Callithrix jacchus: one gene and its partners. The protein of the gene in region 1 purifies or fractionates together with the protein of each later gene. This does not show direct contact. Links are inferred from orthologs where the notes say so. Each region holds a gene or a part of one and is shown in the gene's direction. Other genes may lie near its edges.

Region 1 (3,500 bases):
AGAGTGATCAAGGCGATGTGTCTTCATGGTGTAGTTACTTCATATATTTCCTTCCTAGGTGTGGGCAGGTTCTTCTAGTCTAGATGCTTTGAGCTTGTGGGAAAGGAGTATACAGTTTGTGTAAAAGCTGAGCCTTTTATTGCAAGCCTTGTAAATTCAGATCAGGCTTTCAGGACATTTAATTGACTTTTAGGTGTCCCTCTGCTCCTCAGAAGGAAGAGGGCTGAAAGTCGAGTTGATCACTAGTGCTCAGTGATGTCAGTAATCACACCTGTGTAATGAAAGCCAGAAGGACTGGGTTCAGGGGGCACCACATAGCTGAACAGGTGGAGGCTCCTTCGGGGTGGCATGCCTAGAAAGCACAGGGAGCCCCTTCGCTTTTCTTCCATCTACTTCTTTGTGTTCTCTATAACTTCTGTTATAATAAGCTGGCAAACCTAGCTCCCTGAATTCTGTAAGCTGTTGTAGCAACCCAAGAAGTGGGGAATAGTGGGAACCCTGCTTTGGAGGCTTTCGGTCAGAACTGGAGATGACAGCCCACTACTTACAATTGCCATCTGAAATGGGGACCCTTCTTTGGGACTGAACCTTCAGCCTGTGGGATCTGATGCTAATTCCTGGTAGATAGTGTCTGAATTGGGTTAAGTTGGAGGACACCCAGCTGGTAGCCCCTGGAGAACTGCTTGATATGGACCCACATCTGGTGTCAGAAATGTGTTGAGTGGCATGTGAGTAGGAAAAACACTTTGCTCCATCCCTATCTCCTGTGTTGATCCTTCGAGATTTTTAACATAGGGAATGTTGGATAAGGGGTTTTGGACGAAGGTGCCTGGTGGTGGGCCGGTCGGGAAGTTCACCCAGGTGCCTTCCCTGTTTGTTTTTTTTCCTGATCCCCTTGTGAATGGCTATCCAGTTCTCTGCCTGAAAACATGAAAATAACTGGGAACAGGAGGTGGGAGAAGAGTTACTATTTTCATCCCAATTCACTCAAGAGAAGTTTTCCTCCTTGAATAATTTCTAGTAGTTTGAATTCACAGCACAAATGTGCTGCGAATATATCGAGCATTTAAATATTTACTTGTTTGCTAAAATCTTCTGTAAAAGTCAGTTTTCATTGACATTGGGATAGGGTTCTGCCTAGATGTTGCTAGAAACCTTTCAAAATCTAGGGATCTCTGAAAGATCTAATATTGGATATTCTTTAGATTTTCTTCTTCATTTGCATTTTGCATTGTTAAAAGCTTTTTATTGTTAACTGTCTTCTGGTCTTTGGTTATTGCCAGAACTTAACTGACATACCTTGACTGTTGACATTTCCATCAAAGGGAGAGAGAGGAGTCCCAGTCTCCCTACTTCTCACATTTAAATTCTGAAACAAGCTAGGGTTGGGGTTTCTTTTGCTCACAGCAACAGCATTTAGATGATTCATTGTCACTTTCTGGATATTTGTTCAGTGTGCTTAATGTGTTAATGTTTTTCCTGGTAAAAGTGGTCATTTGACAAATCTCTGTTTCGCAGAATTACTAGGAGATGTACTCAAAGATCGACCCCAGGAAGCAGATGGAATCGATTCGGTGATTGTAGTGGACAATGTCCCTCAGGTGGGACCTGACCGACTTGAGAAACTCAAAAATGTCATCCACAAGATCTTTTCCAAGTTTGGGAAAATCACAAATGATTTTTATCCTGAAGAGGATGGGAAGACAAAAGGGTGAGTGTTCGCCTGTGAGAGAAGTCTCATCTGTGTCTGGCACGTCGTGATGAAGGAGTGTTGAACTGTTGCCTCGCCCAGGCACGTGGGCCATTCTCTTTTTTAGGCTGCCCTCAGCGGGAAGCTCTCGAAAGCAGTGAATGAGAAGATGATAAAGTTTGTTTTTTTAAGTTAAGGTTTTAAAGTTTTTAAAATTGGCCAGGCATGGTGGCTCACGCCTGTAATCCAAGCACTTTGGAAGCCAAGGAAGGCGGATCACCTGAGATCGGGAGTTCAAGACCAGCCTGACCAACATGGTGAAACCCCCGTCTTTTAAAAATAAATAAATAAATAAATAAATAAAAAGTTTTAAAATTACCTAGAATAGGCCAGCATGGTGGCTTACACCTAAACTCCCAACACTCTTAAAGACTAAGGCCAGGAGTTTGAGGCTGCAGTGAGCTATGATTATGTAGCTGCACTCCAGCTTGAGTGACAGAACAAAACTCTGTCTCTCAAATAAATGACGTAAAGTAAAAACTAACTAGAATAGTTTTAGTTTCTAGAAAAATTATCAAATGTAGGTAATGCTACAGTGTTTTTATGTTGGGCAGTCAGTTGAAGGGTAGCCTCTTGACCCTCGGTTACTCATGTTACAATGAAAAGTGCTCTGAGGTCCTTTGTAATGTTGCCTATAATACACAATATTAGGCTATTTTTAAGATTTTGTTTATTTTTGAAACAGAGTCTCACTCTGTTGCCCAGGCTGGAGCTCAGTGGTGTGATATCAGCTTACTGCAATCTCTGCCTCCCAGGTTCAAGTAATTCTCCTGCCCTAGCCTCCCAAGTAGCTGGGCTTACAGGCACGTGCCATCACGCCTGGCTAATTTTTGTATTTTTTAGTAGAGAGGGAGTTTTGCCGTGTTGCCCAGTCTGGTCTGGATCTCCTGAGCTCAAGTGATCTGCCCACCTCAGCCTCCCAAACATGAGCCACAGCGCTGGCCACAAGTTCTTTTAAAAAACAGCTTTATTGAGATAATCGATACATAATAAATCTGCATAGTTTTAAAGTATACAGTTTAATAGATTTTGATGTCTACACTTAATGAAACCATTGCCACAGTCATGGATGTTTTGATTAGCTTTTCTATAATTTATAATCATAAAACTAGAGACTTGAATCTTCTGGTTAGGTTTCCCTCTCATTTAGGGAGCTCCTTGGCTGTGGGTCTGTCCTCTGTGTGACTGCCTTAGGCTCAAGGCAGGAAGAACAGCACAGATAACTCCTGGTACAGAGGGCTTGTCCATGGAGAGGGGTGGGGTAGACAGTGCATACCTGCCCAGCCTTATGGTGTGCGTGTGTATGAACGGCCCTCTTTCACTCAGGTATATTTTCCTGGAGTATGCGTCCCCTGCCCATGCTATGGATGCTGTGAAGAACGCTGACGGCTATAAACTGGACAAGCAGCACACGTTCCGGGTTAACCTTTTCACGGATTTTGACAAGTAAGTTCAGGTTTGGTCATGAGGCAGTGGACGTTGATGGGCAAGCGACCGGCCGTGTCTGGGTGGTTTGGTGCTTCTCAGTGGGCGTTGGTGCCTGTCAGATTGTTAACAGCCTTTCTGGTCAGGCTTCCGCAGGGCCACAGTGCCATTTCATAGCCCTGCCCCAAGCTCCTGGCCCGTAGCACCCCTCCCCATTATGCCAGTCACAGCCCTGGGGGTGGGCAGGCAGAAGTGCAGTAGGGCCATGCTGGACCCCTGGTGCTCTTTCCAGTCATCAGAGCATGGGGTTCGACAGTCTCCTTTC
Region 2 (4,222 bases), on another chromosome or scaffold:
TTAGAGGGGCTCTCACTCTACTGCGGCCAAGTTATGTCTTCAAACTTCAGGGTGGACTATGGATGCGTTTTTAAGTCTCAAGTTTTCACACACACACAAATCCAAGTTTCAGAAAGAATGTTTCAACAGAAAATATGAGAGCCTCTTTCTAAATTTTTTTTTTTTTTTTTTGAGACAGTCTCTCCCTCTGTCGTCCAGGCTGAAGTGCAGTGGTGTGATCTCGGCTCACTACAACCTCTGCCACCCGGGTCCAAGGCTTCTCCTGCATCAACCTCACAAGTAGCTGGGATTACAGGCCCGCCACCATGCCAGCTAATTTTTTGTATTTATAGTAAAGAATGGGTTTCACCATGTTGGCCAGGCTGATCTCGAACTCCTGACCTCAGGTGATCCGCCCACCTCGGCCTCCAAAAGTGCTGGGATTACAGGCGTGAGCCACCGCGACCATCGCGTAAACAGTAATTTTCAATGGAATACATTGGAATCTCATTATAAAACTCCTGCCCAGGGCTACGATTTCCCTGTCAAGGAATTCACAAGTCATTAACTGGAGGGTACAGGGAAGCAGGAAGGACGGACAGCGCTTTTCAAGCCTGGGAGGGGGTAAGCCTTCACCAGAAGGCGAGACCCCACCACCAAGCGCCTACAGGAGGCCCCAGGATTCCAAACCAATTAAGGGCTGCCTCTTCCGAAAACGGGAAGCGACGCGATGAGCCTTATAAGCTAAGCGCGGAGGCCGGGTGCGGGCTGGCACCCAGGCGGCGGGGCAGCCTCACGACCGCCACGGGCGGTCACTGGCGAGGCTCGGGCTCATTCCGCCGGCGGCCACTCCACCCGGGTCCGACACAGAAGACAGCCCTGGGAATAAATAACCCAGGCCTGGGGCTCAGGATGGAAAAACAACTCAGTCCTCGAGGCCCAGAGACTTGCGTCCCCGGGGGGGGGGGGGGACCGGAAAACAGACGAGCGCCCGCAGCTGGGAGAACGCGGTCGGGTTTCCTCCCCCCCAAAGTGTCGGCCACAGAAGCACGGCCTCGAGAGCGGTTTCGAGGGCGATGGTCCTGGGACCCGGGAGTCGCCGCGACGCCGCGGCCTGGCCCAGACCCGGCGTGGAGGGAAACCAACCGCCATCTTCCCCGCAGCGCCCAAATTGACAAAGCACTATCCCCCGCGGCCCGGCCCTGCAGCCAGGGCCTTTCCGGCTCTCGCGACAACCTAAGGTTGCGCCGCTAAGGCCTCTGGGAAACGGGAGGGGAGAGGAAGGAAGCGGGGATCGGGGCTGGAGGCGGGCCGAGGCCACGAGTGGAGCCTCAGGAAGCAGAAGGGGTGCGGAACGGCGCGATTGACGCCGCAAGCGAACCAATGACGAGCGAGCTATGGCAGGCCTCCAGCCAATGGACAGTGAGGCCTCACGCGGGGGGCGGGCGCTGGGGCCGAGGGTAGCTTGAGCTCGGCGGCGGCGTTGTTCAGTCAGAGCGAGAACATTCCAGAGGTGAGTCCGGTGGAGGGTCGGCGGCCCCGCGCCCCCTGCCCGGTTCTCCCCGCACCCCCGACCCCGCGGGCTGCTGGCTGGCCGGGAAGGCGCACCCCCCGACCCGCCCGCGGCTCACGGCGCCGTCTCTCCGCGCCAGGTCGCCAGGCTCCGGCGCTGACGGGTGTGGACCGCGGACGTCGCTGGGACAGCCCCTCCCCGCTGCTCGGCGGCGGCACCTGGCCCGGCCGCTCCTCGCTGCGCTCCGCCTCCGCCTCCTCGGACTCGGACTCGGGTTTCTATCGCGCCTCACTTCATCCCAGTCCCGGGCGAGCAGCGTTGGGTTTATGTCTTTATTTGACGAAAACGGTGAGTCGCGGGCGCGGCGGGCCGGGAGATGGCGGCCGCACAAGATGGCGGCGGCCGCCGCGTGACCCCGCCGCGGCGTGTGGCGCAGTTTGGGGGGGGCGGCGGGCGGGCCCGGGCCCCGGCCGCCCCCTCCCCCTCCCCGCGCGCTCCCCGGGCCGGCCTCGCCCCTTCCCCGGCCTCGCGGGAGCGCGCCGCGCGTGCCCGCCGCTCGGGCTGACTCAGGTCTCAGCTGCTGCATTTGTGAGTCATCGCGCGCTCTGGGCGGGGGCGGCCGTAGTCCCGGCGCCCCTGGGCCCGGTGTGGCTTCCCGGCTGCGCGCCCTCCGGGGACGCGCTGGGGATGGGGCCAGACGCCCGGGTCGCGCGGTAGCCATGGGGACCGGGGCGAAGGTTAACCGAGTGTTGGAATCGCCCGGAACAGGGAGGCCGGGCCGGGCGCTGCGTTTCCGGAAGTGCTGCTCTGAAGCGGGCCGTGGTGGCCGAAGCGACCATTAGGGGTGGAGGATGGTTCCCAGTTTCCCCTTAGAAATGACGGCGGACGGGGCTGTGCCTGGGCGGGTCGCTGACCCAGGCCGCGGTGGAGGCGGCGAGGGCTCGGGCTCGTTCCTAGCACTTACTGGATGGCCGCAGAGGCGAGCGCTTGACCTGCTCATGGCCCTCGGTCTGACGGGAGCCCGCGGCGGCTGACACGGCGCGGCCTGTTTTCCTACCGGGCCTTTCCCTGCCGGAGTCGCAGCCTGGTTGGAATCCGGGCCTTTGAAGTTCCCGCAGGTGTCCTGTGTTAGAGGAGAGGGGCTATTTGCATGGGATCTCAGGTGCCGCTTCAGGTAGAATTAAGCGGAAGCATAACTAGCCGGAGTGTGAAAGGAGGCGGTGATGCTAACCCGGGCGTGGGGTTGTGTTTTCTGTCTCTTCTCTTTCAGAGCTGTTGCGCAGCCATTGGTACCTGTATTGGGGAAACATAGCATACAAGCAAGAAGCTTACAGCCTCAGTGGCGAAAATTTTTTCATGTCAGAGACCGAGAACTCTTGCAGTCGTTTATGTCATCCCTTCTTCTCCAGACAGAAGATACCAAAAAGTTGCAATCAAAGATCTCTTCATCTTATTGATAAAGCCACTAATAATAAGCCAAAATGTCTGTCAACGTCAACCGCAGCGTGTCAGACCAGTTCTATCGCTACAAGATGCCCCGTCTGATTGCCAAGGTAGTGTATGCTGCTCCTCATTTTCGTTGATAGCTCTTTTTGCAGAATTTTGAAGATTCCATCTGTCAGGGGAAACTGCAGAATTAAAATTTTTTATTTCCTTTAGGTTGAGGGCAAAGGAAATGGAATCAAGACAGTTATAGTCAACATGGTTGACGTTGCCAAGGCGCTTAATCGGCCTCCAACGTGTAAGTAGAGCTTGGAAAGTAAAAAGAGAGCACATTATGGAGAGTCTTCAAAGTCTTTGAGCTGCGAAACTTGTTCTAATTGTATGCTAGTTGATTAGCTTACAAGTTAACTGAGGAACCCTGATTTATTGGTTGCCCTGAGTTTACGAAACTACCAGGAGAACACGTTTCTTTAACCCAATAATTTAAAAAGAGTGGTGGCTCAGGAGTGCAATCCCAGCACTTTGGGAGGCCAAGGCGGGTGGGCCGTGAGGTCAGCAGTTGGAGACCAGCCTGGCCAACAAAGTGAAACCCCGTCCCTACTAAAAATACTAAAATTAGTCAGGTGTGATGGCATGCCCCTGTAGTCCCAGCTACTCATGAGGCTGAGGTGGTTGAATTGCTTCAACCTGGGGAGCACAGATTGTCCTGAGACCACACCATTGCACTGGAGCCTGGGTGGCAGAGTAAGACTTCATCTCAGGAGAAAAAAAGTGGTGGTTGAGTTAGGTGACTGTATAATGATCTAAACTCTTCTTTCATTCAAATAGATCCCACCAAATATTTTGGTTGTGAGCTGGGAGCACAGACCCAGTTTGATGTTAAGAATGACCGTTACATTGTCAATGGATCTCATGAGGCGAATAAGCTGCAAGACATGTTGGATGGATTCATTAAAAAATTTGTTCTCTGTCCTGAATGTGAGAATCCGGAAACAGATCTGGTGAGTGCTTTTGTGGTGGTTGTCAAAACAAAAGCCATATACTTACTTCTGTGATCAGTTCTATAATATCACTAAGTCACCTTCCTGAGAAGACAGAGCAGATGTATTGTAAATCAAACCCAAAACCTCCAGATTTGGAGATATTTCCATTCTTTTTTTAAAGTAGGTCACTGTGTGAAAAAAGTTTATTTTATATGTGAAGCTGTGGTTTAGATGTCTTCTGATTGAATATTTGCATCTTATGGATAACTTTTTTTTTTTTTTGGCAGCATGTCAATCCAAAGAA
Region 3 (3,500 bases), on another chromosome or scaffold:
TTCTGTCTTAACTGTCTGTTCCTTTATAGGACTTACTTGAAAAAGCAAGGAAAAACAACAAAACTGAGAGGTATAGCATTTTAGAGCTCAAAGAGATTTTATGGATTCCTCATCCAGAACCTTCTTGTTACAGCTAAGAAAATGGATTCCTCAAAACATACAACTTAATTTGTGAATAGGAAGATCCATTCTCAAACTCTGGGACTCCAGAGCTTCCTCTGGGTAGTTCAGGGCCTCTGCGGGGAAAGCTTTTCTCTTGGTGTTTCTGCCTCTGGTTCTGTCCAGGATGAATTGGCACTCATGGATGTTTGTTCCATCTCCTTCTGCAGAGTATGTATTCCCGTGTTCCAGAGTGCCAGGTCACCACGTACTATTATGTTGGATTTGCATATTTGATGATGCGTCGCTACCAGGATGCCATCCGGGTCTTTGCCAACATCCTCCTCTATATCCAGAGGACCAAGAGCATGTTCCAGAGGACCACATATAAGTATGAGATGGTAAGGGGCACTCTGCCTGCCACTAGTGGCCTTTCTACTCGGCTGACTCCTTGGCATCTATGCCAACCATTCTTGGTAAAGACCATCCAAAATACAGTTTTAATTAAGCCAGGAGTTAAGGCTGTAGAGCACTCTATACGATTGTGCCTACCAATGGATCACCCACCTGGAGTGCAGTGGCGCAGTCACAGCTCACTTCAGCCTCAACCTCCTGGGATCAGGTGATCCTCCTACCTCGGCCCTCCAAGTAGCTGGGGCTACAGCCACATACAACCACACCAGATAATTTTTCTTTTTTTTTTTCCCAAAGTGATACATATATTTTTGAGACGAATTCTCTTTCTGTTGCTCAGGCTGGAGCACAGTGGCGTGATCTCAGCTCACTGTAACCTCCACCTCCTGGGTTCAAGTGATGATCCAGCCTCAGCCTCCTGAGTAGCTGGGACTTATATTTGTGTATGTAAACAGAAAAGATACAATAAAAGTACGGCATTATGATCTTGTAGGGTCAGCATCCTATATGTGGCCCTTGGCCCGTGGTTGACTAAAACGTTGTTGCGTGGCACGTGCACATGTAGGCATCAAGGTTGCATCAAACGTTTTGGGTAACTTGATCCTAACTGGTGTAAAAGGACTGACCTGCTAGTGATGTGTGGGGCAAACTGGAGACACTAAGAGGTACTAGTAAGGAATCCAGAAGATGGCTAAGGAGGATTTGGAGCTAGGATGGAAGTTCAGTAGATCTAGAAATAAGACTGGAAGAGATGTTGGGGAAGTTTAGTGGCTGATATGAGACAGCTGAGTAAATCAAAGATCTGTGCAGAGGCCGGTGAGGCCACATTGGCATTGGGGACCTTAAGAAGTCCGTCTCACTTGACCCATTACCACTCTCCACTTCATCCCCAGATTAACAAGCAGAATGAGCAGATGCATGCGCTGCTGGCCATTGCCCTCACCATGTACCCCATGCGTATCGATGAGAGCATTCACCTCCAACTGCGGGAGAAATACGGGGACAAGATGCTGCGCATGCAGAAAGGTGACCCACAAGTCTATGAAGAACTTTTCAGTTACTCCTGCCCCAAGTTTCTATCGCCAGTAGTGCCCAACTATGATAATGTGCACCCCAACTACCACAAAGAGCCCTTCCTGCAGCAGCTGAAGGTGTTTGCTGATGAGGTACAGCAGCAGGCCCAGCTTTCAACCATCCGCAGCTTCCTCAAGCTCTACACCACCATGCCTGTGGCCAAGCTGGCTGGCTTCCTGGATCTCACAGAGCAGGAGTTCCGGATCCAGCTGCTTGTATTCAAACACAAGATGAAGAACCTGGTATGGACCAGCGGTATCTCAGCCCTGGATGGTGAATTTCAGTCAGCCTCAGAGGTTGACTTCTACATTGATAAGGTACGCCTGTGCCCTCGGTTTGCATCTCGTGTTAGGTGTTCACTATCTTTCATTTGCTACTCTGGGCACATGAAATACATTGGGGAACAAAATCAAAGATTCCTGCCCCTGCGGTGCTGCCATTCTACTATTTAAAAAAAAAAAAAAACGCAGGAGATTGGCCAGGCGCAGTGGCTCATGCCTGTAGTAACTAGTTCTTTAGGGAAGACCAAGGCGGGAGGATCACTTGAGCCCAGGAGCTTGGGACCAGCCTGGGGCAACATAGTAAGAGTTTGTCTGTATTTACCAAAAAAAAAAAAGATAAACAGTAGATGCTACAATTAAGCAAAAACATGTAGAGAAAGTGAAGTTTAAGCTAAGACTTCAAGGAAGCGAGGGAGTTCTGTTTCTTGGGGGGGTTTTTTTGTTTTGTTTTGCAGAGTTTTGCTCTGTCGTCCAGGCTAGAGTGCTGCAGTGTGATCTCGGCTCGCTATAATCCCTACCTCCCAGGTTGAAGTGATTCTCCTGCCTCAGCCTCCTGAGTAGCTGGGATTATAAGCATCCGCCACCATGCCTGGCTTGCTATTTTTAGTAGAGATGGTATTTTGCCATGCTGGCCAGGCTAGTCTCAAACTCTTCTGACTTAAAGCCATCCAACTGGTGGGGAGAGTTCTTAATAGCTCACCAAAAGCCAGGTACAGTGGCTCACGCCTGGAATCGCAGCACTTTGGGAGGCTGAGGTGAGCCGATCATAAGGTTAAGAGATCAAGAACATCCTGGCCAACATGTTGAAACCCTGTCTCTACTAAAAATATAAAAGTTAGCTGGGTGGAATGGCACACGCCTGTAGTCCCAGCTACTGGAGAGGCTGAGGCAGGAGAATTGCTTGAACCTGGGAGGCAGAGGTTGTGGTGAGCCGAAATCGTGCCACTGCACTCTAGCCTGACAACGGAGCAAGACTCCATCTAAAAAAAAAAAAAAATAGCTCACTAAATATCTGGGGGAAGAGCCTTCCAGGCAGGGGAAGTGCCAGGCGCTTCCTGAGCGAAGTCCCTGAAGAGGAGTAAGGTCAGTAAGTTTAAGGGACAGCTGCAGTATGCCCGAGTGGCCTGAGGAAGGAGGCTGTGTAGATGAGGTTGGAGAAGGGGATGGTGCTTTGTAGACTGTTGGAGTACTTTCCAAGTGGGAAGCCATTGTCCTGGCTTTTTTCATTTCTTAATTTTTAGTTAGCAATAATCATACCTCACATAACCCTCATTTGCCATACTGCCACGGCACTAAGCTTTTTTCTTTTTTTTGTTGTTGTTTTTTTTTTTTTAAGACAAGGTCTCACTCTGGTTGCCCAGGCCTGTGGTGCAGTGTTGTGATCTCCGTTCCCTGCAGCCTCAACTTCTTGGAGGATCTAAACAAAAGATACAGAAATACAATATCAGCTTGAGCCTGGGAGTTCAAGGCTGCTCAGACCCTCTTGGGTTTAAGCGATATCCTCGTGCCTTAGCCTCCCAGCTAGCTGCAACTACAGGCACTGATGAGGGTTTTAAAAGAATGGTTTCCTTATATGAGTTTTTTAGACTTAGCCTAGAATATGTGGAGTGTGTGTGTGTGTGTGTGTGTGTG
Region 4 (4,293 bases), on another chromosome or scaffold:
TTTGAATTAGTGCATCTCATATTCTGGTGACAAACTGGTTTATGTTTGTTTTTTAATTTTAATTTAATTTTTTAGAGACAGCGTCTTACTGTGTTGCCCAGGCTGGAGTGCAGTGGTACTATCATAGCTCACTGTAGCCTTTGAACTTTTGGGGTCAAGGGATTTTCCTGTTTTGGCCACCTGGGCTCAGGAGATCTTCCTGCTTTGGCCTCCCAAGGTGTTGGGATTACAGGGATGAGCCACTATGCCTGGCCTTTTTAAAAAAATTGTAATATAATACTTTTGTAAAACGATAAACATGAAGACATACATACAAAATGTAAGCCTGAATTTGATTAGTTTCAGCGGATATAAAATTGTCAAATTGCTACAGATTTTCTAAGTGTTTACTTTGCATTTCTATACTTAACCTCACTGTCAACCATGACCAGTTTGTGGACCAGCAGTAGCAGTCTGTAGATAGTCTGTGGACTGTACTTTGAGTTACTGGTTCAAACTATTATTAGTGCCCAGGGGGATTAATGATGATTACGTACTTCAAATATGGCGTGGGGAGATCTGTCTTAACCTGGAAAAAAAATTTTGGAAATTCCTATGAGTAAATAGGTGTTTTTTATGTGTATTTGGGTTGAGAATTGCTGTGAGAAATCTTGAATGTTCAAAACCGTGGAAAAGCACATCATGGTTTTGGAATTTAAGCAATGTAGATTTGAACATGGTGAGGAGAATCTAAAATTTAGTCAGATTTATTGAAAACACCACAGAATGATGTTAGACCTGGGAAATATTTGCCTCTATAAATTAGGATTGTCCCATAAGATTAATATTACACCTGTGCTAGTTTTGCAGAATGTAGTAAAAAGCTACCTGACATTCTTGGCAGCTAATTGTTAGGGTTTTCTCACCCTTGCTTGTCTTTTTTCTTCCCTTTCAACTTTCTTTTGTTGCTATGACAGTTTATTCAGCCCTGGGTTTGCTAAATTTTAATACTAAACATTTTTATTTGAAGCTGATGAACTCAGCAAATCTAAAACCAGGTTTAATACTTTGCTCTTAAATTGGTGATCTTTTGTTTTCTTGCCATTTGGATTTAATCTCTTTGACCTTCTAGTTAATGTCTTTCATTGCCCCCAAGATGAAAGGTACACTTTTAGCCTGACCTGAGGCCTTTAACAGTCTCACTCCAACCTATCATTCTAGCTCTTCCCTTTCATAAACTTTGTCTTTCAGCCACACTGGTTACTATCTGGAGGAACACAGCACCATCCATGGCCTCACTCTTACACTCTGTTCTACTCACCTAAAGTATGTTACACAATGCTTTTTCAAGGGAAGATTGTCTATTTTAGTTTAAAAATGTGTTCGATTACTTTGAGTTAGCCATAATCTGCTAAATTAGCGTTTACTTTTTTGTTCAGGTAGTTTATAAACCTAGAAATATTGGTCATTTAATTTTTTTTACTTTTTTTTTTTTTTAATTCCCCAATAGAACCTGAGGTTGGTCATTTAGGATGTATTTTCCAGTGAAATTTTCTCACTGAGAGAACACCAGCCTGAGAGAGCAGAGAGGGGAATATGGTAGGACTTTGCAGTATTTTTATTTTATTTTATTTTTGAGATGGAAGTCTTGCTCTTGTCCCCTAGGCTGGAGTGCAATGGCTTGATCTTGGCTCACTGCAACCTTTGCCTCCCGGGTTCAAGCGATTCTCCTGCCTCAGCCTCCCGAGTAGCTGGGATTACAGTTGCCTGCCACCATGCCTGGCTAATGTTTTTATTTTTAGTAGAGATGGGGTTTCAGCAGGTTCGCCACTCTGGTCTTGATCTCCTAACCTCAAGTCATCCACCCACCTCAGCCTCCCAAAGTACTGGGATTACAGGCGTGAGCAAAAGTATTGGACCTCCGAAAGTACTGGGATTACAGGTGTGAGCCACCTCGCCCAGCCGAGTTTTGTTATTAAATTGAATGTAAACTTAAAACTTTTTAAGTGTCTATAGGAAGCAACCTTAAAAATAAGATTATACATCTTAAAATAGAACTTGTTTCTGGAAGTATTTTTTAGTTCCCAAATAGATGATATGAAAAGATGGCTGTGGCCATTAAAAATTCTTATGGTATTATAGAGCATTTGTTTCATAATCAATCTATATAATTAAAAGTGAAGATTAGAGAGTTTAAATTAGTATACTTATTGATTTGTACATACACACATTTAAAAATGTATAGCTTTTTTTTGTTTAAAAATGTGTAGCTTTTTAAAGTTGTTGGAAAAGTACAAAATAATGTGTTCTTAATATGAAGACTATAGTATCAATTACTTAAAATGGGACTTCTAATTCAAAATAACACTTTTAAAATTTTAGGAACTGAATGTTTTTCCTGAGTGATTATCTACTTTTAGTTTCTGTATGTCCAAAGATTTGATTACCATGTTAGTATTCCATCATTTCCTCAAGAATGAAAAGAATGGAATAATAGAAAAGAAGAGAAAGAACTAAATTAGTTTTAAAATGATGTTTTGGACTCTATGAAACTTGTAATTAATCATATTGTAATTCACTATTTATGTGCTGCTGAGGTAAAAGGTTTAAATAAGTGTTGCAAAAGTATGGTTTATAGTGAGGATTTTGAGCTTATGAGTAAATTTAAGAGAATTTAGCTATCTACTCTCAGGTCTTTTGGATAATAAATATTTGACTACATATCTTGTTGTGTTAACATATATCTCTAACTTTTGTTTGCTGCTTCAGTAAATCTGATATCCAGACACTTGTTGCATTGCCCCTTTTTTTTTGTATCAGTCTTTGTCCTAATGCCTTTCTATGGATGTCTTGTTCTGGTGACAACAATTTATTGTAGTGTGAAGAGCTACATGGAAGAATGTGGTGAACACCTATTTTAAATTACTATTCTTCTTTTCTTACTGATATTTCTAGATGACAATGTTAATTATGCCTAGCCTAAAAGAAGATTTAAGTTCAAACCAATGTCCATCATCTTAGAGTCCATTGAAAATGTTAAGTTGCCGAACTTTTAGGTTACCATAGGGTAAACAGTATGCCATGAAGGCAAGACTGGCATATCATTGGCTTGATCACTTTACAAAGCTTATTTTGTCATCATAATATAGTTTTGTTTGTTTCTTTGACAGGGTCTTGCTGTGTTGCCCAGGCTGGTATCAAACTTCTGGGCTCAAGCAATCCTCCTATTTCAGTCTCCTGAGTAGCTGAGATTATAGGCATGCACCACAGTGCTCAGTGATAAGTTATTACACTCTTGAAACTTTAGTTTCAATCCTCTATCCATCCTGATATCACCTTCAATACCATATACAGTATCTTAATGAGATGGTATGTTAAGAAAGATAGCAGATTTTCCTAACTTTGTTGCATAATCTGTGACAGTCTTCCTGCTATTAAAAAAAAAGTATAAGTGGAAGGATAACCATAGATACTATTATATTTTCCAGTTTGAGAAACCCTTTGCTCTTAATGAAGAGATACAAGAATAGAGAATGGTTCTTTAGAGGTTGGTCTATGGTCTGTTTAATGAAGCAATCTGCTCTAATTACTTCTTCTTAAAAAATATTATCAGCATGTCAGTTCAGGTTTAATTAGAATATTCCTATCATAGGTGTGTTAAGAAATTTAAAATAATGTTTTATATTTTATACTAGGAAACCACCCCTACTCCTAATCCCCCGGCTACAGAAGAGGAAAAACCAGAATCTAATCAGGAGGTCGCTAATCCAGAACACTATATTAAACATCCTCTGCAGAACAGGTAAGCTTTCTGACACCTAGGTTTTCTGAGTTAGGCCACAGGTAAGGGAAAGTTAGATTATGAGGCTAGTTTTAGATATGCTAAGGTTGAGGGTTCTATTTTTCGCTTGGATGATCCATGACTAGCAGACAGTTTTATGTGTGAGTCTTGAGCTCAAAACAAACTAGGTGAGAGATTAGTTTGAAATTCTTCAGTATATTGGACGTAATAGAAGCCACATTATTAAGTAAGTTCCTTTAAGGAGAAGTGAACTTTACTCAGGACAAAGACCTGGGATACTAGCATCATATAGGGGGCTTTTGTTGAAGAAGAATGCCTATGAAGGATGGATATGCAAACTAAGAGTGGTGGTCGCTGGATATGGTGGCTCACACCTGTAATCCCAGCACTTTGGGAAGCCAAGGCAGGTGGATCACCTGAGGGTTGGGAGTTTGAGACGAGCTTGGCTAACATGGTGAAATGTCTTCTCTACTAAAAGTACAAAAATTAGCTGGGCATGGTGCCGGGTGCTT
Region 5 (3,968 bases), on another chromosome or scaffold:
ATGGCGGCTCAGATCATGTCCCCAGCCAACTTGGGAGGTGGCAAGGTTCATCCGGACGAAGGTGGCATTTAGATTTGGGCACTGTCCTTTCCCCTGCAGGGTGACCTTGGGCCAGTCACTTTTCCTCTCAGTGTCCTATGGAAATGGGTCTCCTCATTCCATTCACCTCTCAGAGCGTCTGAGGAAGAAGTGTCGACACAATGGGTGTGAAATGCGTGGTTAAGGGCAGGAGGGTAGCATTGGTTATGCGAAGTCCCGGCAGCGGGTCCCTACCCAGCAGGTTCCATTCCGGTTAAGCGGTTCCTTCCCCAGTAACCGGGGTTTCTCGCCTCACCACTGCTTTTCCGTCCCTGCAGGCAGGATCCAGCAAACAGCAGGCTCCATTACCAGGGGCCATTACCATTGTTTTTCGAGGCTGGGCGGTAGGAAAGGACTCTCGCAGGCCAGACCTCGCCTTTGGTCTCTGCCTCTGCCCCGCACCCGCGCGGTAGCAAGCCCGAGAAGCCCCGTCGCCGATCTTTGCCGAGGAAGCGAGTTAGCCACTGAGCGCTCCCGAACGGAGGCCGAAGGCGCACCCGAGTGTCTCCGAAGAACCCCGACCCCTCTCAGTCTCCGGAAAGAACCGAAGAGGCTTCCCACCATCGGCCTCCCGAGCTATTCCGAAAAAGCACGAAGTTTTCCGAGCGGCCGTCCTGCCGGACTGCTGGAGGCGGCCGCAGCGCCATGTTGGATGCTCTGCTCGTTGAGTGAAGAAAATCCGCCGGCATCGCCTGAGCCCCGCTACCGAGAAGGGTGCCGCTTCCCCCGGGGAGGGGGATAAAGATCCCCCGCTGCCGGCCCATGAGGATATTGCCGTGAAAGGTCCGGTCTCTCCGCCTCCTGCCCCCGCCGGGTCCGGCCCCCCCCCTGGGGTCGCGTTGTCACGGAGACCGGCAGCCGGTGGTGCTGGCCCGCGGGGCGGCTGCTGCTGCCGGCGGCGGCGGCGGCGGAGGCGGCGGCGGCGGCGGCGGCGGCGTCGGGCGTGTGTGACCGGCCCCGGCCCCCTCCTCCTCCTCCTCCCAGGCTCCCCCCAGCCCCCAGCTCCCGCCGCCTCCCCGGGTCTGCCCCCATCCCGCCCCCCCGCTGTCCCTGGCCCCTGCACCCCGGCGCGCCCGGTCCTGCTCTGGGGGGGTTGGTGGCTTCGCTTTGCCATGAGTTTACCGCAGAAACCGGCTCTGAAATCAGGCACAGCGACTGCAGCAGGAACCGGACCCGGCACCGGAGCGGCGGCGGCGGCGGCGGCAGCAGTGGTACCGCCTCCTCACCCGGCGGCGGCGGCAGCAGCAGCGGCGGCGGCGGCGGCGGCCCCCCCTCCTCACCCGAACATCAGGGCCCTCCAGACCCAGGCGCCCCAACAGTATCCTTTTCACCTTCCTGTCGGCCCTTCGGTTGTCGTCGTCGCAGCCCAGGGGGACCCCGCAGCCCAGGGGACCTTCCTGCGGACCGCCACAGCCCAGCCAGGAAGGGGGCTGCCGCTCAAGCCCCTCCTGCATTGGGCTTGGCCGGAGCTTTTGGGGTGCCTGGCGGCAGCACTGCAGAGGGAACCTCAGACCTTATGTAGTACTGTGAAAGCTAGCTCCACTTGTCCATGCTTCTGCAGCCCCTTCCTTTTAGAGCTGGGGGACCCTTCACCCCTCCTCCTTCCCTAAGGTACCCTCCCTCCCTTTATTGGGCAGAATTTGCTTGGTGCCTGGGACCAACCCTGCAGGGAAGGCTTTTCTCTGATTATTGTGAGGATTACACCCTCCTACTCCTCACCTCCCCTCGGCGCCCCCTACAGTGGGGCGCAGTGGGCTTTCCTAATTACTATTAGTACATAATAAACTTTATCGGTGAATTTCTTGTTTAAAACTAATCAGCTCGTTTCCGAGGTAAGTTGGATTTTCAGTGTAAGGTGAAAATGTACAGAAAGCAGCCCCTCTGGATAATTTTTTTTAGAAATGGGAGAGTTGTGATGTGGTTTGTGGTAGAACGAGATCTGAGGAAATGTGACGCTGGACGCTTCCCTGTCTTTGACCTTTTTAAAGGAAGAGGAAGTTCACTGACATTACCCATCACCCACAAAAGTGTCACTTCTTGGAAGATTTGTGTTAAGCTGAATATTTTTAATGGGCTTTAATTTACTCTTCATAGGCCTGATGTCTAGAGAGTTGTCAGGGCTTCTGGAGGAAAGTCTAGTATTGAATGTTTCTAATTTCATGTTACTTGCTCGATAGTAGAATTTTGGACAGCTTTGATTGAAAAGACTTGGTCTTTTAGTCAAAAACTAGACGGTGAGGGTAAAACGTTGAATTCATGAATTCCACGGAGATTTAGAAAGGTATTGCGTACCTGAGAATAACATTTCATAATGCATCCCCTCCTCCCTACACCCACTGTATATGTGTAAATCAATAAATAATGATTGGATGTTAGATGTGTTGTGTTTTTGTATTTGTGTCATCGTGTGTTTGACTTGTAGAGATTGTAGGGTGTGTGTTTGAGCAAGTTAGAAGCTAACTGCTGTGAGGTCCCCAGATTATTTCACAGACTGTAGTTTGATTCTTGTCTGTATAGATTACTTTGAGAAGGGAAAACAATCTCCCTTAGAGTCATTTCAGGTCATTGTTTGGTTTCTGTCAAGTGTCGTTTTCTCTGTTCTTTAAATATAGTTCACGTTTTTCAATCCAGGCACCGTGGCGCAGTGCAAAGATGAATTCCATTCCAGTGTGATGTGTGTACTGATTTAATAATGTTTTAATCCTGCATGATTCTGTTCAATTAGGAGTTGCTCACCGATGAGAAAGTGTAATGATAACTTAGTGTTGCTTATAGAAAACATGGTTAGTTTTGGTCAATGTCTCTAGCTGCTTTATGGTGAGGGGAGAAGGGGTAAGGTTGACTGGTTTGCTTACTTCAAGGCAGAGTTCAGTGATGGATCTCTTAAACCTATTTTAATAATTTGTCAGTTTAAATTACTTTCTAATTTCATTTTTTTACCTTGATTGCCTATACTCGGTTAGGACTTTTAAGTTTCTGAATTGTACCACCAAGTAAATTACTCATTACCTGCATCTTTGAGCTGTTTAGGCAATTAAACAGAAATGAAGGGAAACCTATGGTAGGTGTCCTTGATATACAAAGTAGTAAGAACTGCAGTGCTGAATGTGACACTGCTTGGTGAATTTGGTGGCTTTTTGGGACACAAAGAGTTGTGACATAAGTGTTTCAAGTATACTTTTTCTCAGTGCATTTCATAGAAGGACTTATAAAAGCTCTGAGTTGGTTGCAACATACAAGTAGTTACAAAAGCTGAAACTTAGTTTTCTTTTGAATAAAAAGCAGTTGTTAAATAGATAAATTTAAGGGTAATTTCCAGTATAGAGCATTTAAACCTATTTGTAGTAATATGGAATACTTAGTTTTATGTGGCTTTAAGTTTTTAGTTTGCCTCATGCCATTGAAGCTAAAGTTAATCTTCCTCTTGATGTGTTTCACAGCTTTTAATATTTTCTCTTTGCTTTTACACACTGAAAGGTTACAATTGCAAAAATGGAAAATTTTATATGAACAGCAAATGAAGTGTAGGTTGTAGATTTCATCGGAACATATACCAGTGGTGAAGTGTTATCAATTGGTAATGGGATATTGATTTAAAAGGATTGAAATAGAGCAGTTCTACTTTTCTACCCTGAGGGAGTATGGGAGTTTGTATTTGACGCAAGTTGTCATTGTTCAGTAAGTTGATAACATTTAAGCATCTTGGCAGGAGTGCTTAGCTGGAGTTTCACTTTTCATGGCTTGAATATATCTCCAGACACTCAAAATATATGGGTATGGTTGTGTTTGCATTGAATTAATAAGTTCAGTCAGTCACCCGCCCCCCGCCCCCCGCCCCCAGTCTCAGTCTTGTTGCCCAGGCTGGAGTGCAGTGGTGCGATCTCAGCTCA
Region 6 (4,217 bases), on another chromosome or scaffold:
AAAAGAGGCTCCTGCCTGTAATCTCAGCAGTTTGGGAGGCTGAGTTGGGAGGATTACATCAGCATGGGAGTTCCTGACCTAGGCAACATGGCAAAACCCTGTCTGTATGAAAAATACAAACATTAGCTGGGCGTAGTGGTGTGTGCCTGCAGTCCCAGGTACTCGGGAGGCTGAGTTGGGAGGATCACCTGAGGCTGGAAGGTCAAGGCTGCAGTGAGCCAAGATCTTGCCACTGCATTCCAGCCTGGGTGACAGAGTGACATCTTCCTGTCTCAAAAAAAAAAAAAAAAAGAAAAGAAAAGAAAAAAAAGACAAAACAAATGCTGATTGAAGGAATTAGTAGTACCAGCCTTCACACCACATAGACATGTAAAATGCAGACGTGAGCTCAACATTGCACATTAAGTTAACATTATTTTCTCTCTTCTAAATAATGACTTACATTTTCTCCACTAGTCTAGCCTGGTAACTTTAGTAAGACCTGTAAGAAAGATTTTGTGTTTAACTCAGGTAGGACAGCAAGAAAGATGGAGCGTGGAGAAAGAAAATCAGAGGAAATATTAACCGGGCGCAATGGCTCGTGCCTGTAATCCCAGTACTTTGGGAGGCCGAGGTGCGAGGATCATTTGAGCCCAAGGATTCCATACCAGCCTGGGCAACATAGCGAGACCCTGTGTCTATTTAAAAAAGAAAGAAAGAAAAAGAAATATTAGAGCAGGTTCTCATTATTTTTACCTAGGAAAAGAGACAATTTTTGATAAAGACTTCACATCAGATCTATGCATTACTGGAAATGAGCCGTGGGTTGAGAGACAGATTCTGTATTTAAAATGTCAAACCTGTAAAGTAGGTATATAATTATCCTCATTTTACAGATAAGGAAACTGAAGCTCTGAACGGTTATTGACTTTTCCAAGGCCACAGAACTAATAAACAACAAAGCCAAAAGGTCTGCCGTTCCACACCGGCCCCAAGATTTCCCCATCTATACGACTCACCACCAAACGCCGACCAGACGCTTCTATCCTGCTCAAATTCAGACCAACCTACTCACCATGCGCATGCTCACTTTCAAAACGAAAAAGTTATTGAGAACCAATGCGCATGTTCCATAAAAGGAGAGTTTTGTTGTGTATTTTTTTTTTCCTATTCAGAAAGATTAATTACGCATGTTCAATTTCAATTTACGAACTTCAGATGTGGTACGCATGCTCACTGTTCACCGAACGCTTTAGCTGACAATGCGCATGCTCTGATCTCCAGGAGCAGCTTCGGCTCGCGTTTTGCGCATGTTTCTGCCAGCACCTGGATGCTGACCATAGTTCTGCGCATGTCCATTGCCAACAGTTTGGCTTCACGGGACCATATACGCATGCTCCTGCGCTGAACTTTAGGAGCCAGTCTAGGGCCTAGGCGCAGACGCACTGAGCCTAAGCAGCCGGTGATGGCGGCAGCGGCGGTGGTAGCTGCGGCGGGTCCGGGCCCATGAGGCGACGAAGGAGGCGGGACGGCTTTTACCCAGCGCCGGACTTCCGAGACAGGGAAGCTGAGGACATGGCAGGAGTGTTTGACATAGACCTGGACCAGCCGGAGGACGCGGGCTCTGAGGATGAGCTGGAGGAGGGGGTGAGGCCCGGGGTCTCCGGGGGCCCGAGGTGACAGGGCCGGGGCGGCGGTGCGGGGTCAGGAAGCGCGGTGTGTCCTAGAGCGTGGAGACCCGGGGGGGCTCCTGGAAGAGCTGAAGGTCGCGCGGCCCGAGACTGAGGAGCGGGTGGGACGGACATGGCTCTAGGTGTGAGGCCTTTGCAGGAATCGCAGGTGCAGGTCGCACCCTTAGCTCTAGGTCAGCGCAGCCCTGAGCAGTCTGAAGGGGGAAAGAGAAGGGGCGCGTGCTCGATACCTCGAGCTGCTGGACTTGAGTGTGGCGGGGCGCGGGTGGCGTGAGCGTATGTTGGGGATACGAGGGCTGCGCTTGCTGGGAGTCCCGTAAGTACAGGTGAAGTGTGGAGGGTTTCCCTTCGAATCTAGGATTTCAGGTATTAAATCTTCAGACCTCCCACAACCACCTCTCTTCTCGGCCTGTCGCTTCTCTCCTAGGAAGCGCTCAGCTGTTAGAAGTGACAGCTGAAAACTTCTGTCGGGAGTAGCACTGCCGCTGCTGTTACAGCCACCAGGAGTTTTATTTCGGGAGCAAGGGGGCTCTGCTGCATCTTCCAATCTTCCAGGGTTTGTTTGTTTGCTTTTTTTTTTTTTTAACCCCCTTCCGTGTGACTTTTTAAAGTAAGCATTTATAGGACACACGGCACTTGTAACCTTTCCCCAAGTTGAAGATGTCTTTTTTTTCCCCCAGAATAATTAATATAATTTTCGGGTAGGGGGAAAAAAAAAAACCCAGTGTTGACAGCCCTGATTTAGCTTGCCAAAAATAAGTTGCCTGAACAAAGATTTGTGAATGGTGGCGTGAGGGCTTTCCTTGCTATAATTTAGTGTGCTAAATTTAGAATTATATTTTCTAATGCATAGCTTGGTTTTACCTTGGCTGGCTTAGTGGTTTGTTATTCTTTATGGAATATCTTTTTTTCCTGAGATAAATTTATCAAAAACTGACAAACTGGACCTGAAGTTCAAAAACGTTGTCATACTAAACTACTGATTCCAGACCAAATGATCGTCAGTTGATAACCTCTTAGTAGTTTAGGATCTAAATTCCAATGTCAAGTTGAATACATGGGTTAATGACTGGTGTTAGATGTTTACTCTAACTACATAGGGGCTTCCTTTCCCTTGCCTCACCCTCAGTTTTTCTCCTCTGACACCTGCCCTACTGTTGACAAAAGATTGAGATGGTATGTATAAAGAACCTTGAACAGATTAAGAAACTAAGTGGCCTAAAATAATACTGTTCTTTTCTTTCTTTCTCTCTTTTTTTTTGAGAGAGTCTCCCTCTGATAGCCCAGGCTGGACTGCAGTGGTACGATCTTGGCTCACTGTAGGCTCCACCTCCCGGGTTCAAGCAATTCTCCTGCCTCAGCCTCCCAGAGGAGCTGGAATTACAGGGGTGGGCCACATTGCCTTGCTAATTTTTTTGTATTGTAGTAGAGATGGGGTTTCACCGTGTTGCCCAGGCTGGTATTGAACTCCTGACATCAGGTGATCCACCCACCTCAGTCTCCCAAAGTGCTGGGATTACAGGGGTGAGCCACCCCACCACACCTTTTTTTTTTTTTTTTTTTTGTGGTGGAGTCCCACTCTGTAGCCCAAGCTGGAGTGCAGTGGCCCGATCTCGGCTCACACAACTTCCGCCTCCCGGGCTGAAGCGATTCTCGTGCCTCAGCCTCCCAAGTAGTTGGGACAGGCACACGCCACTACAGCTGGCTAATTTTTTTAATTTTAGTAGAGATGGGGTTTTACCATGTTGCCCAGGGTGGTCTTGAACTCTTGAGCTCCTGTGATCTACCCCCTTGGCCTCCCAAAGTGCTGGGATTACAGGAGTGAGCCACCTGCATGCCCAGCTGGTGTGTGCATTTTCAATGATGTTTTCATAAGGAATTCCAAATAGTTTCTTAATTGAACACAATGATACACTAAATACAATTGGAAACAAATATGAGATTACTTTTGTTACATATATTATATTCCATACTCTGATCAGTTATATTGGTTCTCTGTGGCAGTGGGTTTGGAGCAGGGCAGGGAAGAAAACTGGATAGGAAGGTGCTTTTATTTTTTTTGAGGCAGAGTCTCGTTCTGTCACCCAGGCTGGAGTGCAGTGGCACAGTCTTGGCTCACTGCAACCTCTGCCTTCTGGGTTCAAGTGATTCTTCTGCTTCAGTCTCCCGAGTAGCTGGGACTACAGGCGTGTGCTACCACGCCCGGCTGATTTTTGTATTATTAGTAGAGATGGGGTTTCACCATATTGGACAGGCTGGTCTCGAACTCCTGACCTCAGGTGATCCACCCACCTTGGACTCCCAAAGTGCTGGGATTACAGGTATGAGCCATGAGCCTGGCCAGATGTATTCTTTTTTGAAAGTACAATACTGTATTAAAATTCCTGTATGAATTGGGACTTTTTCTTTTCACTTTCTTGTTGTGTTTCAAGAACAGTAGGTGTTCCAGGGCTTTTGTCCTGCTGGGTACAAGCAAGTAGGATTTTGAGAGGGTGTAAGGAGTTCAGCAAAATTGGTAGAAATAGGAAAAAAAAAGAAATATGGCTT
Region 7 (2,157 bases), on another chromosome or scaffold:
AGGCTCAGGGCATTAAACGTTCTGTGGCAGATGCAGTGACTATTCTGGGTGTGAATAATGTAAAGTTACAGCAGAGCTCTTGTTCTAAGGCATTTGGGACTCAGTTTTTCTGAGTGAATATGCCTTGTAGCTTGCGTCCTATGGCAGGAGTGCAATAGAACATGGATGTGCTCAACTGTTTTATAAAACCGGTTGCTGGCTGGGCACGGTGTCTCACTCCTATAATCCAAACACTTTGGGAGGCTGAGGCAGGCAGATCACTTGAGGTCAGGAGTTAGACCAGCCTGGCCAACATAGTGAAACACCATCTCTACTAAAAAAATATAAAAATTGGCCAGGCATGGTGATGTTGGCAGGCAGTGGTTATCCCAGCTACTTGGGAGGCTGAAGCAGGAGAATCACTTGAAGCTGGGAGGCAGAGATTGCAGTGAGCCAAGGTTGTGTGCCGTTGCACTCCAAATTGCACACCAACCTGGATGACGAGCAAAACTGTTAGTCAAATTAGCTTTCAGAAAGTTAAGGGTTCTGAATGTCTAGAATAAGACACTGAATTATCTGAGCGGCTTTATTGTGACTCACTGTATACTCAGGAACCAGACTGAGTTGAAATCCTGTCTTGCCACCTATTGACAGCACGATCTTAAGGATTTTAACCTCTGCCAGTTTCTCAGCTGAATGTGAGTTTACTAATAGTGCACACCCCCCAGGGTGGTTGGTTAGGAATAAGTATGTGAAAAACATTGAATGGTGGTGCCTGGCACAGTTGGAGCTAATATATGAGCACCTGTTTTTCTCCGGGCTCAGATACAGAAGGTGGTTATGGCACTAGGAGACTACATGGGTGCCTCCTGTCACGCCTGTATTGGGGGCACCAATGTTCGTGCTGAGGTGCAGAAACTGCAGATGGAAGCTCCCCATATCATCGTGGGAACCCCTGGCCGTGTGTTCGATATGCTTAACCGGAGGTACCTGTGTAAGTAATTGAGTTCAACAGTCCCCTAGGTCACTTCCTCTCATGCATGCTTTCCGCGTCTTTCAGCTTAAGCCAAAGTCATTCCTGAGGATGCTCATTTCCCTTATGGGAAGAGTTGCTCTGTGATGAGGCCCATGCGTGTCATCTGAGTCTGGCTTTCCTGGCAGTGCAGCCCAGGCAGTGTTCTACTTGCCAGGGCTGATGTCTGGCCAGGCAGGAAAGTCCTCGGCAAAGGATCAGTCTTTGTATTCTGAGAGCAGACTACTTGGTCCCTCTGTTATCAGGAAAGTTGGGTACATATATCACACATTTACCTAATTATATGCTGTATATTGGCTTTTTTTATTCTCTAGCTCCCAAATACATCAAAATGTTTGTACTGGACGAAGCTGATGAAATGTTAAGCCGTGGATTCAAGGACCAGATCTATGACATCTTCCAAAAGCTCAACAGCAACACCCAGGTGAGGGCAGTCTTGCTTGAATAGCTGAAAAAAAAAAATAGTTAAGGACAGAGTTTGGCTCTTGTTGGCCAGGCTGGAGTGCTGTGGTAGCTCTGCCCAGCTGATTTTTTGTATTTTTAGTAGAGAGGGTTTCACCATGTTGGTCAGGCTGATCTCAGACTTCTGACTGCTCAGGTATTTGCCCGCCTTGGCCTCCTAAAGTGCTAGGCTTACAGGCATGAACCGCCACACCCAGCAGTGATTATTTTCTAGAAGAAAAATAGCAAGTGCTAGAAGAACCAAATTTTGGATTGCTATCTTGACTTTTTTTTTTTTTTTTTTTGGCACCCACTTCACTTTTTTTTTTTTTTGAGACAGAGTTTTGCTCTTTTTACCCAGGCTGGAGTGCAATGGCGCAATCTTGGCTTGCTGCAACCTCCGCCTCCTGGGTTCAGGCAATTCTGCCTCAGCCTCCCGAGTAGCTGGGATTATAGGCATGCACCACCGTGCCCAGCTAATTTTTTGTATTTTTAGTAGAGACGGGGTTTCACCATGTTGACCAGGATGGGGTCGATTTCTTGACCTCGTGATCCACCTGCCTCGGGCCTCCCAAAGTGCTGGGATTACAAGGTGGCTTGAGCCACCTCGCTCGTCCACCCACTTCAGTTTTAGGTGTGACTAGGGAAGGGAGCAGGCGTCAGAAAGGACACCTAAGAAAGGCTCTAAGGCTGGCCTTTTTCTC

What was found.
Region 2: the proteins of EIF3B (region 1) and EIF5 fractionate together in Homo sapiens (co-fractionation; 3 studies listed by BioGRID and IntAct, with this or other methods). This does not show direct contact. The link is inferred for Callithrix jacchus from reciprocal best matches to the Homo sapiens genes EIF3B and EIF5.
Region 3: the proteins of EIF3B (region 1) and EIF3L purify together in Homo sapiens (affinity purification with mass spectrometry; 8 studies listed by BioGRID and IntAct, counting the BioPlex papers as one, with this or other methods). This does not show direct contact. The link is inferred for Callithrix jacchus from reciprocal best matches to the Homo sapiens genes EIF3B and EIF3L.
Region 4: the proteins of EIF3B (region 1) and EIF4E purify together in Homo sapiens (affinity purification with western blotting; 5 studies listed by BioGRID and IntAct, with this or other methods). This does not show direct contact. The link is inferred for Callithrix jacchus from reciprocal best matches to the Homo sapiens genes EIF3B and EIF4E.
Region 5: the proteins of EIF3B (region 1) and EIF4G3 purify together in Homo sapiens (affinity purification with mass spectrometry; 3 studies listed by BioGRID and IntAct, with this or other methods). This does not show direct contact. The link is inferred for Callithrix jacchus from reciprocal best matches to the Homo sapiens genes EIF3B and EIF4G3.
Region 6: the proteins of EIF3B (region 1) and RPS6KB1 purify together in Homo sapiens (affinity purification with western blotting; 3 studies listed by BioGRID and IntAct, with this or other methods). This does not show direct contact. The link is inferred for Callithrix jacchus from reciprocal best matches to the Homo sapiens genes EIF3B and RPS6KB1.
Region 7: the proteins of EIF3B (region 1) and EIF4A1 purify together in Homo sapiens (affinity purification with mass spectrometry; 4 studies listed by BioGRID and IntAct, counting the BioPlex papers as one, with this or other methods). This does not show direct contact. The link is inferred for Callithrix jacchus from reciprocal best matches to the Homo sapiens genes EIF3B and EIF4A1.

What each region holds. Positions count from the first base shown.
Region 1 is NC_133503.1:56,683,861-56,687,360, reverse strand, and holds part of EIF3B (eukaryotic translation initiation factor 3 subunit B), read left to right. Parts: intron 1-1,518; coding exon 1,519-1,711; intron 1,712-3,076; coding exon 3,077-3,196; intron 3,197-3,500.
Region 2 is NC_133509.1:138,161,875-138,166,096, forward strand, and holds the start of EIF5 (eukaryotic translation initiation factor 5), read left to right. Parts: upstream 1-1,422; 5' UTR 1,423-1,492; intron 1,493-1,631; exon of another isoform or gene 1,632-1,840; intron 1,841-2,082; exon of another isoform or gene 2,083-2,654; intron 2,655-2,762; 5' UTR 2,763-2,973; coding exon 2,974-3,045; intron 3,046-3,151; coding exon 3,152-3,233; intron 3,234-3,763; coding exon 3,764-3,936; intron 3,937-4,205; coding exon 4,206-4,222.
Region 3 is NC_133502.1:208,882,722-208,886,221, forward strand, and holds part of EIF3L (eukaryotic translation initiation factor 3 subunit L), read left to right. Parts: intron 1-329; coding exon 330-500; intron 501-1,406; coding exon 1,407-1,904; exon of another isoform or gene 1,905-2,393; intron 2,394-2,760; exon of another isoform or gene 2,761-2,860; intron 2,861-3,500. UniProt on the Homo sapiens protein: Component of the eukaryotic translation initiation factor 3 (eIF-3) complex, which is required for several steps in the initiation of protein synthesis.
Region 4 is NC_133504.1:98,561,434-98,565,726, forward strand, and holds the start of EIF4E (eukaryotic translation initiation factor 4E), read left to right. Parts: upstream 1-1,493; 5' UTR 1,494-1,618; coding exon 1,619-1,921; intron 1,922-3,329; exon of another isoform or gene 3,330-3,345; coding exon of another isoform or gene 3,346-3,348; intron 3,349-3,674; coding exon 3,675-3,781; intron 3,782-4,293. UniProt on the Homo sapiens protein: Acts in the cytoplasm to initiate and regulate protein synthesis and is required in the nucleus for export of a subset of mRNAs from the nucleus to the cytoplasm which promotes processes such as RNA capping, processing and splicing.
Region 5 is NC_133508.1:58,037,375-58,041,342, reverse strand, and holds the start of EIF4G3 (eukaryotic translation initiation factor 4 gamma 3), read left to right. Parts: upstream 1-1,168; 5' UTR 1,169-1,190; coding exon 1,191-1,396; intron 1,397-3,968. UniProt on the Homo sapiens protein: Component of the protein complex eIF4F, which is involved in the recognition of the mRNA cap, ATP-dependent unwinding of 5'-terminal secondary structure and recruitment of mRNA to the ribosome. Functional homolog of EIF4G1.
Region 6 is NC_133506.1:94,475,637-94,479,853, forward strand, and holds the start of RPS6KB1 (ribosomal protein S6 kinase beta-1), read left to right. Parts: upstream 1-1,417; 5' UTR 1,418-1,485; coding exon 1,486-1,626; intron 1,627-4,217. UniProt on the Homo sapiens protein: Serine/threonine-protein kinase that acts downstream of mTOR signaling in response to growth factors and nutrients to promote cell proliferation, cell growth and cell cycle progression.
Region 7 is NC_133506.1:74,068,842-74,070,998, forward strand, and holds part of EIF4A1 (eukaryotic initiation factor 4A-I), read left to right. Parts: intron 1-804; coding exon 805-973; intron 974-1,090; exon of another isoform or gene 1,091-1,231; intron 1,232-1,296; exon of another isoform or gene 1,297-1,326; coding exon 1,327-1,436; exon of another isoform or gene 1,437-1,460; intron 1,461-2,157. UniProt on the Homo sapiens protein: ATP-dependent RNA helicase which is a subunit of the eIF4F complex involved in cap recognition and is required for mRNA binding to ribosome.